3 linked regions of the Yarrowia lipolytica genome follow. The protein of the gene in region 2 binds, or shares a complex with, the protein of the main gene of each other region. Links are inferred from orthologs where the notes say so. Each region holds a gene or a part of one and is shown on either strand. Other genes may lie near its edges.

Evidence for each region. The genes of interacting proteins can lie anywhere in the genome.
Region 1: YALI1_B14150g (region 2) and YALI1_B29507g share a complex: the UniProt entries of both Saccharomyces cerevisiae proteins name them as parts of the mitochondrial small ribosomal subunit. The link is inferred for Yarrowia lipolytica from reciprocal best matches to the Saccharomyces cerevisiae genes NAM9 and RSM19.
Region 3: YALI1_B14150g (region 2) and YALI1_F17431g share a complex: the UniProt entries of both Saccharomyces cerevisiae proteins name them as parts of the mitochondrial small ribosomal subunit. The link is inferred for Yarrowia lipolytica from reciprocal best matches to the Saccharomyces cerevisiae genes NAM9 and MRP4.

Annotation. Positions count from the first base shown.
Region 1 is NC_090771.1:2,948,027-2,953,006, reverse strand, and holds YALI1_B29507g (mitochondrial 37S ribosomal protein uS19m), read right to left. Parts: upstream 2,307-4,980; coding exon 2,267-2,306; intron 1,947-2,266; coding exon 1,717-1,946; downstream 1-1,716. Other genes in the region: YALI1_B29528g (uncharacterized protein), read left to right, coding at 155-1,345; YALI1_B29505g (uncharacterized protein), read left to right, coding at 2,454-4,277; YALI1_B29483g (uncharacterized protein), read left to right, coding at 4,678-4,980. UniProt on the Saccharomyces cerevisiae protein: Component of the mitochondrial ribosome (mitoribosome), a dedicated translation machinery responsible for the synthesis of mitochondrial genome-encoded proteins, including at least some of the essential transmembrane subunits of the mitochondrial respiratory chain.
Region 2 is NC_090771.1:1,411,707-1,418,031, reverse strand, and holds YALI1_B14150g (mitochondrial 37S ribosomal protein uS4m), read right to left. Parts: upstream 2,968-6,325; coding exon 1,252-2,967; downstream 1-1,251. Other genes in the region: YALI1_B14187g (uncharacterized protein), read left to right, coding at 1-891; YALI1_B14147g (uncharacterized protein), read left to right, coding at 3,270-4,364; YALI1_B14121g (uncharacterized protein), read right to left, coding at 5,307-5,879. UniProt on the Saccharomyces cerevisiae protein: Component of the mitochondrial ribosome (mitoribosome), a dedicated translation machinery responsible for the synthesis of mitochondrial genome-encoded proteins, including at least some of the essential transmembrane subunits of the mitochondrial respiratory chain.
Region 3 is NC_090775.1:1,740,112-1,745,917, forward strand, and holds YALI1_F17431g (mitochondrial 37S ribosomal protein uS2m), read right to left. Parts: upstream 3,001-5,806; coding exon 1,717-3,000; downstream 1-1,716. Other genes in the region: YALI1_F17383g (uncharacterized protein), read left to right, coding at 1-1,351; YALI1_F17444g (uncharacterized protein), read left to right, coding at 4,326-4,334, 4,381-4,866. UniProt on the Saccharomyces cerevisiae protein: Component of the mitochondrial ribosome (mitoribosome), a dedicated translation machinery responsible for the synthesis of mitochondrial genome-encoded proteins, including at least some of the essential transmembrane subunits of the mitochondrial respiratory chain.

The DNA of each region.
Region 1 (4,980 bases), about 1.5 Mb from region 2:
GGACAGAAATACCGCTCAAAAACCCTTTTGCCCCGCCCAACAAGACCCCATGTACCCCCTAAGGCTTGCTAATATTGAGGGTTTCACCTCCGTCTTGGCCCATGCGGGGATTGTTTAACTTCGTTGGGACCTGTCCTAAACATCTATCCATACAATGGTGCCTCGACGAGGAGCCACAATTGGGGCGCCATTGCCCCGTATATTCTCGAGACACGTCAGCAACTACTTTCACTATCGCCAGGGCGACGTGGCGGGCCGCATAAACCTGCTTTCGCTTCCGGGCTTCATTGGACACTACACAAGCCGAGTCAACAGACCCTACAACGAAGACCGCTACAGCGCCTCCGTATTGAAACTACCTCGAGGCAGCACTTTTGCGCCTCGATCTCTGCGAAAGGGCATGTCTGCCGAGCGTCAGGTCTTCAACTTTGCCGTCTACGATGGCCACGGATCCGACGAGTGCTCCGAGTTTCTTAAGGACAAACTGGCCACCTATGTCGAGAAGGCTGACCTCAACGACGCCGACGACATTACCACCAAGTACAAGGAGCGGTTTGGAGGCTACTGGCGCCGATGGAAGCAGATGGACAAATACCGGGGTAGAATGAGCCCCTACGACGACTTCCAGTTACGACTACCGTTGGCGTTCCTGGAGGCCGACTACGATTTTGAAGGTAAAGGAGGAAGTACATGCACATCGGTGTTCTTGTATTGTCGCCATGTGGCCCATTCAGAGGCCGGTCCCCTACCGCCGGGGGCTGAGGATAACATGTTTGACCCAGAGAACGACCTCTCTCTAGTAGTGGCCCATGTCGGAGACACTCGATGCATCATCTGTGATGCCAAAGGAGAGGCCACACCTCTTACCATCGACCACCATCCCAGCGCTCCCACCGAGGCCGATCGTCTGCGTCGATTTGCATCTTCATTCTTCATGGACTCCTTCGGCGAGGAGCGGTTCGGTGTCTTTGCCAACACCCGAGCCTTTGGAGACACACTTATGAAGGCCAAGGGTGTGAGTGCCGAGCCCGACGTGCGAGAGGTTGCACTCCAGGACGAACAGTTCCTGGTGCTGGTTTCCGACGGAGTTTCTGGCGACGTGTCTGATCAAGAGATCGTGGACCTGGTAACCATTACCGCCAACAGTAGCGGTTCTGGACGAGGATCGCCACAGCAGGCTGCCCAGGAGGTGGTTGAGTACGCAGCGGCTTTGGGTGGCTCGGACAATGCCACTTGCATGGTTATCCGTCTAAGAGGATGGGGCAATGGCTCGCAGGTGGACCGAACCGGCGAGCTACGAGAATACCGACTCAAAAATGTCGACTCCCGTGGAAATCGAATGTAGGCATGTATATTTATAAACAGTAACTTTGGCAATGTGACTTGAAGAATGTAGCACGAGTATTCAGTGGATGTGTAGTGTACATACTACCCCCACCGATAAGTTCCACTAATGTTTTACGGTATCAACTAAAAATCTAACTAAAAGTTCAATTACTCTTAGAGCCAAGATGCGAGATTTATTATCCTGGCTCAAAATTCCCATCTTACGTATTGGGTGGAAAAAGTCGCTGTATCTATGGATAGATACAAAGACTTTAGCGTATCACCATGTGAATAGCTACTTGTAGGTGAAGTCAGGTGGCTCTTCAGGCACTGTAAAGCTACAGTACAGTATGTACAGCTTCTGAGGCATGAATCTTGGCTATATACAAATTAGTTCTTGGTCTGTCGGTATCGGAAGGGCTTTCGAGTGTAAGCGTACTCGCCAAGCTTGGTTCCGACCATATCCTGGGTGACGTTGACAGGAACGTACTCCTTACCGTTGTGGACGTGGAAGGTCACACCAACAAACTGGGGGATGATGGTTGCGGCTCGCTTATCGGTCTGGATAGGCTGCTTCTTTGTAGCCCATGGCTTCAGGTCGATAGGGACAATGTGAGGGCCTGTGTTAGCTTTGGAGGATGTGTGTCATGTCTTGATTTGGCGATGTGTTGATCTGGTCAATGGAGAACAACTAGCAGATTCTGTGCGTAGTCGCGAGAGCTGAGAGGTGTTCTGACGACGAATCGAGAGGCAACAACCTGACTGGCCCGTGTTATCACCCGGTCCAACCAATCAATTTCCGGTTTGACAATCGCCAATACCTTTGTGCCTGTGGTGTCACTCGTATTGCAACGAAGTACAGGCGAATCACGCGAGTATGGTGAAAACGAGTGGCAAAAATCTTCTTCCCTGCACTCGGTTCACCAAATGAAATACTCACATTTCCAGGCGGAACGACAAAGAACCCGTGTTGGCAGCATTTTCGGAGTGGTCTGAAGTGCAAAAAGGGTGATGTAAAAACGCTTACTACACCTAAACTCTATTTGATACTCGTGCATGAAAATCTTAGGCCTACATACAAATAAATTTATTTCGAGCCTGCAGCACACCACGAAACACACATCACCATGTTCACTGGAGTTCGTCGATTTGACCCTACCCAGGGCGGACAGGCGTCGCCTGTACCATTCAAGAAGGTCAAACACGAGGAGGAGGAAAGCAAGCCTGAAACCAATGCTGACGAGCACTCTGAGGTGGAATATGAGGAGGAGTCTGGGGACGACTCCATGGATGAGGCTGAGGAGGCCAAGAAGCCCGTGGAGGTCAAGGACGAGGAGGAGAGCGAAGATGAGAACCTTACAGCCGACCAGAAGCGAAAGAAGAAGCAGGAAGCCGCCAACCTGGCCAAGCGAGCGGAGGAAAAGGCTCTAGAGCGAAAGCGAAAGCGAGAACAGCATATGGGCGAGGAGGACTCTGATAGTGAAGATGATCTGGCGCCTATCAAGATTTCTGGCAACAACAAAATCAAGCTTGCTAAGGGAACCATTCGAGCTAAGGGCTTCGAGGAGCTTCCCCAGACTGAAATCTATGAGGATAAACCCGATGAGAGTGCAACCATCTCTCGAAAGACCCAACTTCAGACACAGCCCATTTTGCGAAATGCTACTTATGTGGAAATTGACGATGTTGGATCATTTGATGAGTTTGATCTGAGCAAAAATATGATGAAGAACCTGGACACTTTAGGATACACAAAGGCATTTTCTGTGCAGAAGGCAGTCATTCCTTGGCTTCTGGCCCAGCAAAAGCTCCTTGCCCCCGATCGAAAGCCCGATCTTCTTGTTTCTGCATCCACCGGTTCCGGTAAGACCGCCACTTACGGAATCCCCATTATCGAGAAGCTCCGAGACCGTATTGTTCCTCGAATCAGAGCTGTGGTTGTACTCCCTACAAAGCCCCTGGTCATGCAAGTCCGAGACGTGCTTGAAAACCTATCCAAGGGATCTTCTTTGTCTGTTGTGGCTCTTCGAAACGACCGAAGCACCAAACGTGAACGGGCTGTTCTGGAGACTGCCGATATCGTTGTGGCAGCCCCTGGTCGACTTGTGGAGCAAGTGAAGGAGAACCCCGAGCTCTTCTCTTACATCGAATTTCTGGTGGTTGACGAGGCCGATCGTCTGCTTGGCCAGGACTACTACGACTGGGCCTCTGTGTTGCAGAACAACCAGCAGCGGGCCCAGGCTGGTAAGACCAACCTCACTGAGCACTACGTTCGAAACATGCAAACACTTATTTTCTCAGCCACCCTCACAGCCAACCCCGAACACATTGCATCCATGGACATCCACAATCCTGGCGTTTTTGTCATTGGTAGTTCTGACAGCTACTCTATTCCCAAGAGTCTTACAGAGATTGTCACCCACGTGTCTGCTGCCGAGAAGCCTCTTATGCTGTGCGAGCTGCTAGTGCAGAGAGATATCAACAGAGGCGTGGTGTTCACTAAGAGTTCCGAAACTGCTGCTCGTGTGGCTCGCATGATGGAGATTATGGACGCGGACATTTTCCACAAGGATTGGAAGATAGCGGCTGTTTCTGCCGAGACTTCTTCTGTGCACCGACGACGGTCCATGAAGCAGTTTATTGATGGCAAGATCGACTTTCTGGTCTGTACCGATTTGGTTTCTCGAGGTATCGATTTCGTGGTGGATAATGTGATCAACTACGATATCCCTAGTGGAAAGCGAGAGTATGTGCATCGAGTGGGTCGAACTGCCCGAGCAGGCAGAGAAGGTAACGCATACACCTTCCTCACTGGCTCTGGAGAAGCCAAGTGGTTCCGGGAGATTGGCGAGTTTGTGGGTCGAACCCAGGAGGTGGATGCCACTCATATCAACAGTTCCCATAACGACGGATACCAGGAGGCTCTTGCCAAGCTGGAGGAGGAGGTTTAGAAGGTGTTATAAATGCATTGTAAATTATCATTTAATAGACGACTGAGCAAAATACAGCACGTGCAGGCGGTTATTGTATTTACTCGTACAGTTTGTACTCACTAATACTGGCTGTTTTGCAGCCTGGGTTCTGCCTAGCCGAGACAAGACTGTTCTAGAACCTTCATAAAGCCGACTTTTGTACGGTAAATATATAATAATGGCTTGCGCTCTCCAGATATCAGTGTATCTGCTTGCTTCATTATAGAGAGCAGTCGAATAAGGTTCCGGACCCAGCGACACTTCACATACTCCGACAGTGCGCCGAAGGTGACCCACAGAATTCAAAGTATAAATTCGATAGCCGATCCTGTTTGCAAGATGATTCAGACTATCGATCCTAACGACTGCTAAACACACAATGCGAAGAACACTTGCCCGTCTCCAGCACCACTCCAACGCGTTTGTTCGAATCGTCGAGGTTGCGCCTCGAGACGGTCTTCAAAACGAAAAGAAGATCCCTTCCACCGAAACTAAGACTTCTCTGATTGACCGGCTGGTAGCTACCGGCCTTCAGACTGTGGAGGTGACCTCGTTTGTGTCGCCCAAGTGGGTCCCTGCCATGGCAGATAATGAAGCCATTCTGAAACACTGCAACCAGACCCATGGAGGAACCACTGTCGACTTCCCAGTGCTGACCCCTAATGCCAAGGGCATGCAGAAG
Region 2 (6,325 bases):
ACCGGTCCCACCTGGAAGGTTGGAGGTATCCCTGTTGAGGAGGCTCTAAAGACTCAATCCAAGTCTGTCGCTGCTCCCACTGCTGTCCCCGCTCCCGGTGGAGCTCCTGCCACAGGAGGAGGCCCTCCTCCTCCTCCTCCCCCTCCTCCTCCTCCTGCTAGCATCTACGAGACAGACTCTGCTGCTCCTGCTGCTCCTTCTGGTGGTATGGGTGCAGTGTTTGCTGACCTGTCCAAGGGCGAGGCTGTCACTGCTGGTCTGCGAAAGGTCGACAAGAGCGAAATGACCCACAAAAACCCCGATCTGCGAAAACAGGACCCTGTTGGCGCCTCCGGAAAGGCAGCTCGACCTCTTCCTCCCAAAAAGCCCGGATCTTTGTCTAAGGCCACTCCTGCTGCCCCTGCCCCCAAGCAGCGACCCGCCAAGACCGAGCTGCTTGACACGAAATGGTTTGTTGAGAACTACGAGGGCGACCAGAACATTGTCATCGAGGGCGAGATGAACCAGGGTGTCATGATCGAGAACTGCAACAACTCAACGGTGCAGATCAAGGGCAAGGTGTCGGCTGTGTCTCTCAACAACTGTAAGAAGCTTGGTCTTCTGGTGGAGAACCTGGTTTCTGGAGTTGACGTGATTCGATGCAAGGACTACGCCATCCAGGTGACTGGTGTTACCCCCATGGTCACTATTGACCAGAGTGACGGAGGACAGATCTATCTGTCCAAGGAGAGCATTGGTGCTGAGGTGTATACTTCGCAGACCACTTCCTTAAACATCAACATCCCCACCGACGATGGAGACTATGAGGAAGTGCCTGTTCCCGAGCAGCTCATCCACAAGATTGTCAACGGCAAGCTCGTCACCTCTGTTGTTGATCACAGCAGTGGTTAATATTTAATAACATTGATACGAAAGATGTAGGATACAGTATGTATACCAACAGTATCGCTACAAAAAGTACGGCACAAGTAACTGTCATATATATACTGTATTTCCGAAATCATATTTGTTACAACACAAGTACATACAGTACATACTACGAATGTCGTGGAATGTGATAAAGACGAATATGATGGACATTGACGTTACTATGCTTTCCGTATTCATCTATCCATATTAATACAAGTAGTGCTACAGTAATTGCACATTTTATACAAGTACATACTGTACATACTATAGTATGTACAACAGTTGAGACCGGTCTCTACAGTATTCAAATTTCGCTTTCAATGCTAATACAGTATATACAAACTACTTCTTAATGTAGTATAAGTTGGCAAACTCGTGGTTGATCAGAGGGAAGGGAGAAATGACCTCCGACATTCCGGGTCGGGCAACAGGGTCTCGCAGGTAGACGGCGGAGCAGGTAGTGAAGTCAACCTCAATGTGGTGGGGGTAGATAACCGAAGGAGAAATGAAGGGTCGGAATCTCCAGGGTGTAAAGTAGGGCTTAGAGATATCCTGTCGGCCGTACAGATGCTTCTTCTGCCAGGGGAACTCCTGGGCGACCTCGGCCTCGTTTTCAGCGGCTTCGGCAGCATCAATCTTCTCTCGCAGAGGTCCTAGCAGCTGCAGCCATCGGGGGTTGACCTCGGTGTCCTGGACAGAGGGATTCAGCAGCTTTTGCTGATGCTCATTGTAGCTGTCGTGGATAGAGTCAGCCACGTTGGTCTTCATTTCCTGGATGAGGCATCGGGCGGCGTAGACCACCTTTCGCTCCTCGACTCCGGCAAACTCGGCTTTTCGCGAAATTAGACAGCTGGACACAATGTTCTTCGTATGAGGGCTCTCGATGGACGAGACGTGGTTGATGTCCTTGGGATGGATAGCAAACTCCAGCTTCTTGGAGCCGATGCCCGCCATGTTCTTGTTTCGCTGCTCAATAAGATGATTGGCATTGGAGCGCACGGTCTCGGCCTTCTTTTGCTCAGCAGAGCCCTCTACCGCGGCCTCAGCCTTTGTCTCAGCCTCCTGGGCCAGCTTGGTGGATCGCTCGTTGAGAAGCTCAATGACGGCCTCGGGGGTTAGGAAACCCTCAGCAGTGGGAGCGACCGGGTCCGCACCGTTGGCAGGGAACTGCTGGTCAATTAGCTTGAGTAGCTTCTCACCCAGAACCTTGGTATCGTCAGTCTGGGTCTTAAGAAACTCGTCTCGGCCAGTGATGAGATCCTCGAAGATGGCAGCGGAGCACAGCTCTCGGAGACGGGCCAGCATGGCCTGGAAGGCCACCTCGTTGGCCTTCTGAAGCTGCATCTGCGTCTTGGGGTCCATCAGCTTTCCAGCCTCTCGCTTCTTGATCTTGTCGAGACGCACGTTCCACATCTTCTCAGGATCATCGTTGCACTTTTTGATGTACTGGTTGTACTTTTTGATCTGTCGGTTGTCGATCTTGACAGCCTCCTCAACGGAAGGCTTGGCCTTACCGGCAGCAAAGAGGACCTTCTCGGGCTTGACTGAGATGAGATCTCCGGGCTTGAGGGTGTAGGAGGCATGCTTGATCTTGACTCCATTGACAGTCACATTGCCCTGTCGAATAAACTGGCCGGCCTGTCGAATGGATGCGGCAAACATGGACCGGAACACGGCAAAGTCCAGTCGCTTCTCCAGATGCACAAACGTCTGCATGGCAAACGGCGTCTTGAGCTTTTTGTTGCCCTCGGCATCAAACTCCAGCATCTGATCGTCGAATCGGTTAGCCATGATTCCTTCGGAGGTCACGTCGTCTCCCAGAGGCAGAACCACACCCTGCAGCTTCTTGGGGATCTGAGTGGTCAAGGTACCCTCTCGAATGTGTTCTCCATGATAGGCTCGCAGCTCTCGCTTGGAGGCCCACTTCTTCTGGAAAAGCGTCTTTTCATCCCGCAGAAAGTCCGTCTTCTTGTACAAGTTGTACAGGTTGCGGGGGTTCCATGAGGCTCGCACCTTACCTCGAGCCAGAGAGAAGAGGTTTTTCGCTTTATGGGGCATTTTGGGGTGGTGATGTATATCTTGTGATTGAATTTTTCACTCAGATGCACGGTAGGGTAACTGAGGTGTAGGTGGGAGTAAATGAGAGGTGACAAAAGTCCCAATCTTAAGAGAGTTTGGTGATGTGTAAATGTTAGTTGGGGGTTAGTTGGAAGTTAGTTGAAAGTGCTACAGACAATGTAAACACTCGCTACACCACCAAGCACAAGGTCAACGTGCAGGAGGTTGAGAGGTAGCACACGAACCGTAGAGCCGGAGCACCATCTACAATCACAACTGTACCATACTAACGACATTGCATCATGAAGAAAAAAGAGGAAGATGAGACGGGGATGGTGAAAAGGGAAGATACAGACGACACATCGACACAAGCAGTGGACGGAGCAGAAGTTGAGAGTAACGGACAAGGTGATGCCGGAACAGACTCTTCTCCATGGTCCATAGAGAGCGAGACAGTGCTGTTCAACTCGCTGTGCAAGTTCAAGCCCGTGGGCATCCACAAACATTTCCGCATGATTTCTCTGTCGGCTTCGCTGAACTACTATTTTTCCGAATCGCCGAAGGACGCGCCTGTGTTCTCTCACCAGGACGTGTGGGACAAGCTGGGCACTCTGTACGACCTGGATGGACTAGACGAACTGGAGTACGTGGCCGACAACCAGGATTCGGACATGGACGAGGATGAGGATGACGAGGCTGCGATTGAAGGGATCGCAAAGCGGTCGCAGATGAAGGAGTTCGTGCTGCCGTTCCGCGATTATGGGTTTCTGCAGATTGAGCAGGCTACTGCGGTTGCCAGTGAACAGTCTAGTCCAGCCATGTCGCGCGAGCAGTCTGTCTTGGAAGACGGACCCACAGCTGGGGATGAAAAGAAGGGCCTTGCTGACGATGACGACGAGTCCAGTGATCTGGATGAACTGGACGACGAGGAGATGAAACTGGCGGAAACCAAGATCAAGGTGGAGGGAGAGCAGCAGGAACGGGAGGAGAACGGAGGAGAAGAAGAGCACGACACCATGGAGGGTAGTGCAGAGCCCGAGGAAGCTGAAAAATCGGAGGAGGAAGGAGAAGGAGAAGAATCTGGAGAATCGGAGAGTGAATCCGGTTCGGAATCACAGTCTGACTCGGACGCACAAACAGGCCGCCAACGAAGAACGCGAGCAGCCACTGCAGCAGCTGTTCGTGGCCGAGGGACCTCAAAGGGCAAGACTGTTCGCGACAAAAAGTCGTCGCCCAGCACCCGTGCTTCCTCCGCTCCGAGACGGTCGACGAGACGGAAGGCGACAACGGAACCCGAAGATACAGCTACAGAACGAGAAGAGACGCCGACGCCGAAAAAGTCGTCTGGTGGGGTGAAGAAACCTGCTCCTCGGCGCAGCACCAGGAGAAAGAAGTGATGAGGTGTGTTTGAGATTGAAGGGGGGGAGGAATGTACGAGTACAAGATACCATATATAATGCTTACTAATGACATAAACATGAGCTTGGATAGCTGGGCTAGCTGTAGAAGATCTGTACTTTTAGTAGTTGGGATGGTACAGAAGAGCTTCTACTGCTTTTACTCACGAAGAGAGACTTGGTATGTTTACCGTAACTGGTAAAGTAAACAAAATCGTAGTGTAATTGCGGTTACTGTATGTGTGTACATTCGTGTATACATGACACAGGACATCGGAAGCCAACCACCACAACATGCTGGTCCTAAAATACTGTAGCACACGCCCTTGATTTTTTCGACTAGCCAGAAGCAATTAGCCATCCTTAGCGACTGTCTAATTTCCTCGGGCTGACACCTGTCAAATCTCCGCGGTACTGGTACAGTGCCGGTAGCCGAGGAGGTGTCAGATTAAGATGGAGTAACTGTCTCGTTCCAGTACGAAATTACCGAACGCCAGCGAGTGCATTGTACTCATACATTACTAAGCCTAAGCAGTGTAATTACTCGGTACGGGGTTCAAGCATATAGCCCACAGAGCGGACGAACAAACCCGTTGCAGGCACCACAGCTACGCATCTTACAGCGCATCTCCTTGCCAGTATGGTCCCATAATAGCTGCCAATGTTTGAAATGAGTGCATGTTTTGGTACAAGTATGGTGCACGTTGACGTCATGTGGAGTCTAGCCTGTGTTTTTACAGTGGTGGGTGTCCGGGCAGTGCAATGGATGTTGAACGAAGGGTCTGTGTGGTCAATTGGAGCTAATGGTACCGTAACGGCACTTGCTGGCCATCTCCAAAGGTCGCTGGGTCACGTGACTCCTCATAGCTAATTACATCTGTTACTTTACATAGTGTGACACGACTGGGGATGGTCGTCCATCATTCATCATGGTCTGCCAATTTAGTTGATACCGAGGAGCTCAACGTCAAAGACAAGAGTGGCGTTGGGGGGGATGAGGCCGGGGAAACCTCGCTCGCCGTAGCCGTAGTCACCGGAGATGGTGAGCACGGATCGCTCGCCGAGAGAGAGCTTGGGGACACCCTCGTCCCATCCTCGGATGACATCGCCGACACCAATGGTGGTCTTGAAGGGCTCGCCTCGATCTCGAGAAGAGTCAAACTTCTGGCCGTTCTCCAGAGTGCCCACGTAGTGGATGGTGACGGCATCTCCCTTCTTGGGGTAGGTCTTGCCGTCGCCGGGCTGGAGCTGCTTAACTGTGACACCCATGTTTGTGATAGAGGCGTGGAAGGCGCGTGTGTTGGTGAGTAAGAGAGGGGACTTGAGAGGGCTAGATCGAAGGCTTCTAGCTGTAAGTGATAGGGTCCGGAACATTGCGTCTGGTTGTGGCGGGCCTAGAGTATATAAGGTCTGTGAGGCATGGGCGAAATTTGACTTTTTTTCCGACACTTCCGACAGCTTCTTTGCACTTCCAAATCTTGCGGTGGGGTCAGGGCGGATTGAACAATTGGGCATATGTGCTGCTATTTTCGGTAGTAGAAAAACCAATTGCTACATATAACACCCGTCTGTATCCGGCAAGTTGTTTACTGCCTTTTTGCCATCTATTCTGCTTCTGTTCAATCGAATTGTAGGTCCACCCACCGCTATTTCCCATCTCCTCTAATCGACCTAAACTCTCGACCATCTGGGCAAAAGAGGGCAAAAAAAGGGCACAAAAAAAGGCGACAATAGACTTTGGACACCTCTCATGTACTATGACGATTGCCAACGCTAGACCATATGTGGGGAGGTCTAGCCGTGTCGTCTAAAGGGGACAATGAAATGGAGCCCGCGGAGGAGCATCTTTTTGGCACGATTGTTTCATGATCCCTTTGCGCTATAACTATTGGAAGTGTCCACTTCGTGAATGCAGACCACCATTCGCCTTAACTACCTAAACAGGAAGTACACGTCTCTCT
Region 3 (5,806 bases), on a different chromosome or scaffold from region 2:
TCCTCAATCCGATGTCGACGACCTGTGGATTTCTCTGTCGCAAAAGCTTATGGGCACTCTTGGCCACGAACTAGCTTCTGTCCAGGACCAAGCAGTGCTCGTCAATCTCAAGGCCCAGCTGGGTTTGTTTGTGCAGACCATGGAACAATACCGATTCGACACGGTCAATGTGGGCGACTTTCTGCTTCTGTCGTTCCGAAAGTTCTCCCAGTTTCTCATTTCTGGCTTTGACAAGGACTTCAACACCGGAATCATGGAGGACGACACCAACAAGATCACCATTCACGACGCTGATCGGTATGAGAAGATCACTCGAGCGTGCTGGTGGACTCCAGCGGATGACGAGGCAGCTGGAGGCAAACCCGGAGCTGCTACAGACGGCGTGTTCCCCAAGACCCTTCCCTTCTCGCCCATCTTGCCCCTTTGTTGTGCCAAGATTACGCATCTGATTCACCAGCACTATGCATTTCTGGACGAGTTCAATGTGTCTGAAGTTACCCAGACGGAGGACTACGTGCAGCAGGCCATGGATAGTCTGCTGAATGACATTATCTGCGACACGCTGCTGCATCGGCTTATGACCACGACCCGAGAGCAGATTGTGCAGATTCTGATCGACCTGCAGCAGTTTGAGCGGGTTATTCCGTTCATTGCCCAGAGCATTGTGGACGGTCGTCCGTCGCAACGAAAGTCGAAGATTACACTCAAGGCCCAGAAGAAGTTCCAGCAGGCGTCCGCCAAGGCCGAGTCACGAATATTCGAGCACGTGACCCAGACGGTGGACAACTTCATGGAGCTCGAGGACTACGATTGGTCGACCACAGTTTCGTCCGATGAACCTTCCTCATATCTGGACGAAATGGTCAACTTCCTTACGATCTTTTTCAACTCCACGCTCGCCGACCTACCCTTTGCCATCAAGAACTACGTCTACTTTGGCGCGTTTGACCATTTGGCTTCTTCGTTGTTGCAGATTCTGTTGAATGCGCCCCGGGGCCTCATCACCACCGAGGCCGTGCACAACTACAACGTGGACATTCAATACATGGAGCAGTTTGTGACGACGCTGCATTTGGACGGAGGCAACGCGTCGCTGTCGACCACCTTCATCGAGATCCGACAATGTCTGGATCTGCTCATGACCAACGAGCTGTCCAAGGAGTACAATAACCCGCAGATCCGAATGCGACGGTACGACCGAATCAAGCCTGAGGTCGCGCAGCAGCTCATGGATATGTCGCAGACCATGAAGCAACCCCAGAGCCCCCAGATTGGAGGCGGTACACAGCAGAAGCCGACTTCGCGGTTTATGCGAATGTACAGGAATGCGTCTGGTGCACATGAGCCTTGAGCATAGCAAGATGACAGCTTATGTACTACTGAACAAGACCACGATATATAGATTAACATGTATGATATGATTGAACATCTACTTCAGTGCAGTCAACAGCGTTGTTTTCATTCCACCCCACCACATTATCGTACTACCTACTCGCACCATACTCAGACATTACAAGTATGTATTGTATCGTAGAACGGTTCCAAAGTCTTCATATTTCGATTCTCTATAGAAGAGCTCAGTACATGCACAGTCTCAATTTTGTTCTCACTACTAGTCATATATCTCGATCTGCTCGAGGGTCACAGTGTCATTCTGTTATTCAATACACTGGCATTCTCGCGAATACCTCTCATTCATGGTCTCCTATATGTACATTACTCCTTGTGGGCCTCTCCGGAGGAGAAAGGGTCCTCGGTCACGTCATTTTCATCGGCAGCCTGCACAAGATTCTTCTTCATGTGCAGAAGCTCGGCGTTTCGTCGCTGCTGCTCCTCGAACCGTCGCAGCTTGTGTCCCTTCTCGGCTGCTCGAGCCAGCACTCCAGTGATCAGATCCGTGGTTCGGAGAGAGTCATCGTTGGCGGCAATGGGGTACGACAGCTTGGAAGGGTTAAAGTTGGTGTCGGCCACTCCGACAGTGGGGATGCAGGACTTGAGACACTCTCGGATCAGAGCGGGGTTCTCGTCGGGGTTGAGGATGATAACCAGATCAGGTCGCATGTTAGGGCCCGAGATCTCTGCGTCAAACTCTCGGCCAGTGTGCTGGTTGATGTCGGCAAAGCTGGTTCCAGACTCGCCGTCCACCACCTCGTATCGTTTCCAGTTGGCGGCAATGTTGGAAAAGTTGGTGATGGCTCCAGGAATCCACTTGGAGTGCACGTAGGAAGCGCCGCATCGTCGCGACATGGCCTCGAGCGCCAGCTTCTGGCCGTCACGGGTGCCGACAAACAGAATCAGACCGTTCTGCTTGGCAACAGCCTCGGTGATTCGAGCAGCTCGTCGCAGCTGGGTGACGGTCTGCTCAAGATCAATGATGGAAATGCCGTCTCGAACGCCGTAGATGAAAGGCTGGTTGTTGACGTGACCGAGCTCGACGGCATGGCCCAGATGAGCGCCGGCAGCCAGAAGACTGGTCACGGTGGCCTCGGTGCCACTCTTGGGATGCTTGATGATATGGAGAGGATCGTAGACGCCCTTGACCTCGGCTCCCAACTTGCTGAGCATATCGTGTCGGTGCTGTCGTCGCAGAAACAGCTCCTGCTTGGTGTACTCCTCATCTCGGGCGGTTCGCTTGAGCAACGGGAAAATGGCAGCAATCTTACTCTGGTCATTACCCACTCGGATGTTCTTACTGTCGATTCGGCCCATCAGGGAAGACAGATCGGCCTGGGGGTCCCCGCCGGCAGCGGCGTTTTTGGTGCCTCTTGCCTGTCGTGCAATCTCCTTGACCTGCTCCAGCTTCTCACCGGCCTTGAGAGCCTTCTGGAACTCCTGGAACTTGGTGGACAGCTCCTGCTCCAGCTCGGGAGACAGAGGGACATCGGCAAAAGTCTCGGCGGGGGTGACCCGCAACGCTCGCAGGTAGTCGTAGGACTGGGTCTTGGAGCCGACCTTGGCGAACGGCGACTTGGTCGAGTACCGTCGGATAGATCTCAGCATGTTCGGTGGTACCCTGTTGTTTGTGCTGGTGCTGGAAAATTGGAAATTTCACCTTGCACAAAGGTAGGGTAACATTGGGAGGTGAATCAGCGACAGAGGGCTCTTGGATGTGGGGTGTGTTGAGTGCGATATTGAGGGAAAGATAACGGGGCTTTTGAAGGAAATGGAACGAACCGGTTACGTGATAGACGATGGAGGTGACCACTTGGTTTTTTTTTTTTTTTTTTTTTTTGGTTTTTTTTGATTCAAGTTGGACTGTGTTGTGTTGATATCAGGACTATTGAGAGATTCTGTATCTGCAGAATGCTGATTATGTAAGTGAGGAAGTGACCAAGTGAGAAATGAGGAAGAGAGTGATCTCAATACTGATGAGACCTTGGAGAAAAAGGGAAAAGACGTTAATCAAGTGTTGTTTCATGGGTATTGTAACTACTGATCTCGTTCTTTTGGTGATTCTCGTGGAGACCACCGTGGTAGTGACCCTCTTGCCGATCTCAATACCAATGGATGAGAGAAAACTCGTATCTAGATGGGTTTCGACAGATACTGTTGTTCAATTAGATAGGAAATGCTTGTATATTCATCTGGTTTATGAAAAACGGCTGATTGAGTGTCAATCCCGTGGTAATCAGATGTTACTGACTACATTGTTGATTCCTGCTCTACTGCTTGCCTGTAGTCTGCGATTTCACTCCAACTAAAACCTAAGTATATACAAACACTGGAATATGGCGTTGACTGCGACTACTTGACAGTATGTAAGGGAATGTGGAAATGATGTTACATTATTCGAGTAATAATGGCTTAATTGATGATTTGAGGGTCTTCACACTTCAGAAATAGTCCAATGATCCCAAATTTGAGACTCCAGACCACTTACGGCCTTAACTAAAGTCTAGTTAATTCCACGAGTGCAACATATCCCAGACATATACTGGGTCAGAAGCCGCCAAAGTGCGTTATTTGGATACCAGAATGATCGCAATGGTCCAAATAACACGCTGGTGTGGTTATAAATGCTCCCTTAGGGACTACAACTGGAGTTGTGATCACTTCCCTTATTCTGCCAGGCCGGGTAACCCCAAAATTTCACTTGAGAAAACAGACTGTTTTCAGACATGTTTATATGTACTGTATTTACGACTGTATACGACTTCTACCTACTACAACTCACAATACGGGGAGGTGCTCAACGGCCTAATGTATTATCCCAAGAGGTGCGGTTCTTTCACCTACTCCCCTTGATTAATTAACAGCATAGGTTCGGTCAGCCTACATCCTCCTGAGGAGGTTCAACTGCCTACGTCCTATTCACATTTTCCGACATGCAACATGTGTACAGCACTCTGGATGGCTGTCCGTCCGAGTTGATTGACTCAGGCTTGGATCTGGCTTTCACTGCTCTTTGGACTTACTAGCTCTGTTCTGTGGTACTGGCTCTGGCTCTGCTCTGGCTGGAGGGACGGGCGTTTGGCATTATTGCCGTGTAGGACTCATTGGCTCACTCAGACTGTTGCATTGCTCTTGACCGTGGAGGTGTCTTACGATCTTTGCTCTAGTGCGTCTCGGCTGGCTTCTCAGCGGCTTGTCGGCATTCGCACTGGTAGCTCTGGCATCTCAGCTTCAGTTCTACTACAAGTAGGCGGCGTGGGAGTGTCTCAGAAAGGGGTTTCACCCACGAGTTTCCCACGGTCGGATGGCTCTGGCGACTTGCTCATGTGGGCTACACAAGGCACGGAGGAGGAGCCTGGGCATTTCGTCCGGCTCAAAACACTCGCTCTTGGCGCATGGCGTTTCAGCTCATGGCAGTTAGTCTCAACAATAGCTGTGCGGGTCTTACAACACTTGGCCAGGCGGCTTACTTGAAGGCTCTTGCGTATTTCAACGCGTCATTGCTCAACAGAAGTTGGCTCTTGAACATGTGGTTCACAAGTAGGGACACGTTCCCTTGGGAGTCTCGTGTTACTCAGCTGGCTCCTGGGTTCATGTATTGTCGAAGTGAAAAAAAGAGTTTGGAGCGCAGACGACTAAAAAATACAGTGCATGATAGACGCACTAATGTCGAGACAAAAAAAAGCAAAAAAAAGCAAAAAAAAGAAAAAAAAGAGAAAAAAAAAGGGACACACCCGGAACGTGGAATTTTGTGAGAAACTTGGCGGGAAAAAATGCACATGAACTCATAATGACAATGTAAATTGATTCCACAAACTTCTCCCCATCCGAAACACGCAAATAGTGCTGTATATGTCACATCAACATTCGCATTGACAGTCTCCAAAATGTTAAAAATTTCAAGCTCAAATGTTATTCATCGAGATATATTAGTCGGACATTCTACAAGTAGCGCTCCTGAGAGGAGGGGGAGTTACAGATGCTTGTAGATCAGTGGCAAGTAGAATGACGGCGAAAGAGACAGACGCCGGCCCTGTTACCCTTTTACCCAATATCAAGTACCAGGGCGTTTTTTCTTGGTAGGTCTCTCATCTACTCCTTACCGTACTTGAAGATGCGGGTTAAAAGGCTGGTTGCATGTCCTAATGAGGAATGCAAAGTGATGTTGGTGGCGATATATTGCTGAATATTGTTCCTAGGAGACAGAAGACCAATATTATGTCACAATTAGCCGCGCTGTACTCTCGGGCACCGTCAGTGAGGCCCTGTCTTACGCCATTGATTCAGTTTGAGTTGATAGACTGAAGGAAGTAGAGCTGCCACGGTACTGTATCAGTATGTACAATGTGAGGTTGGATTGAAGACAGATGCGAAGTTGGATTGAAGACAGATGCCTCGTGTTCTAGTAGACTAC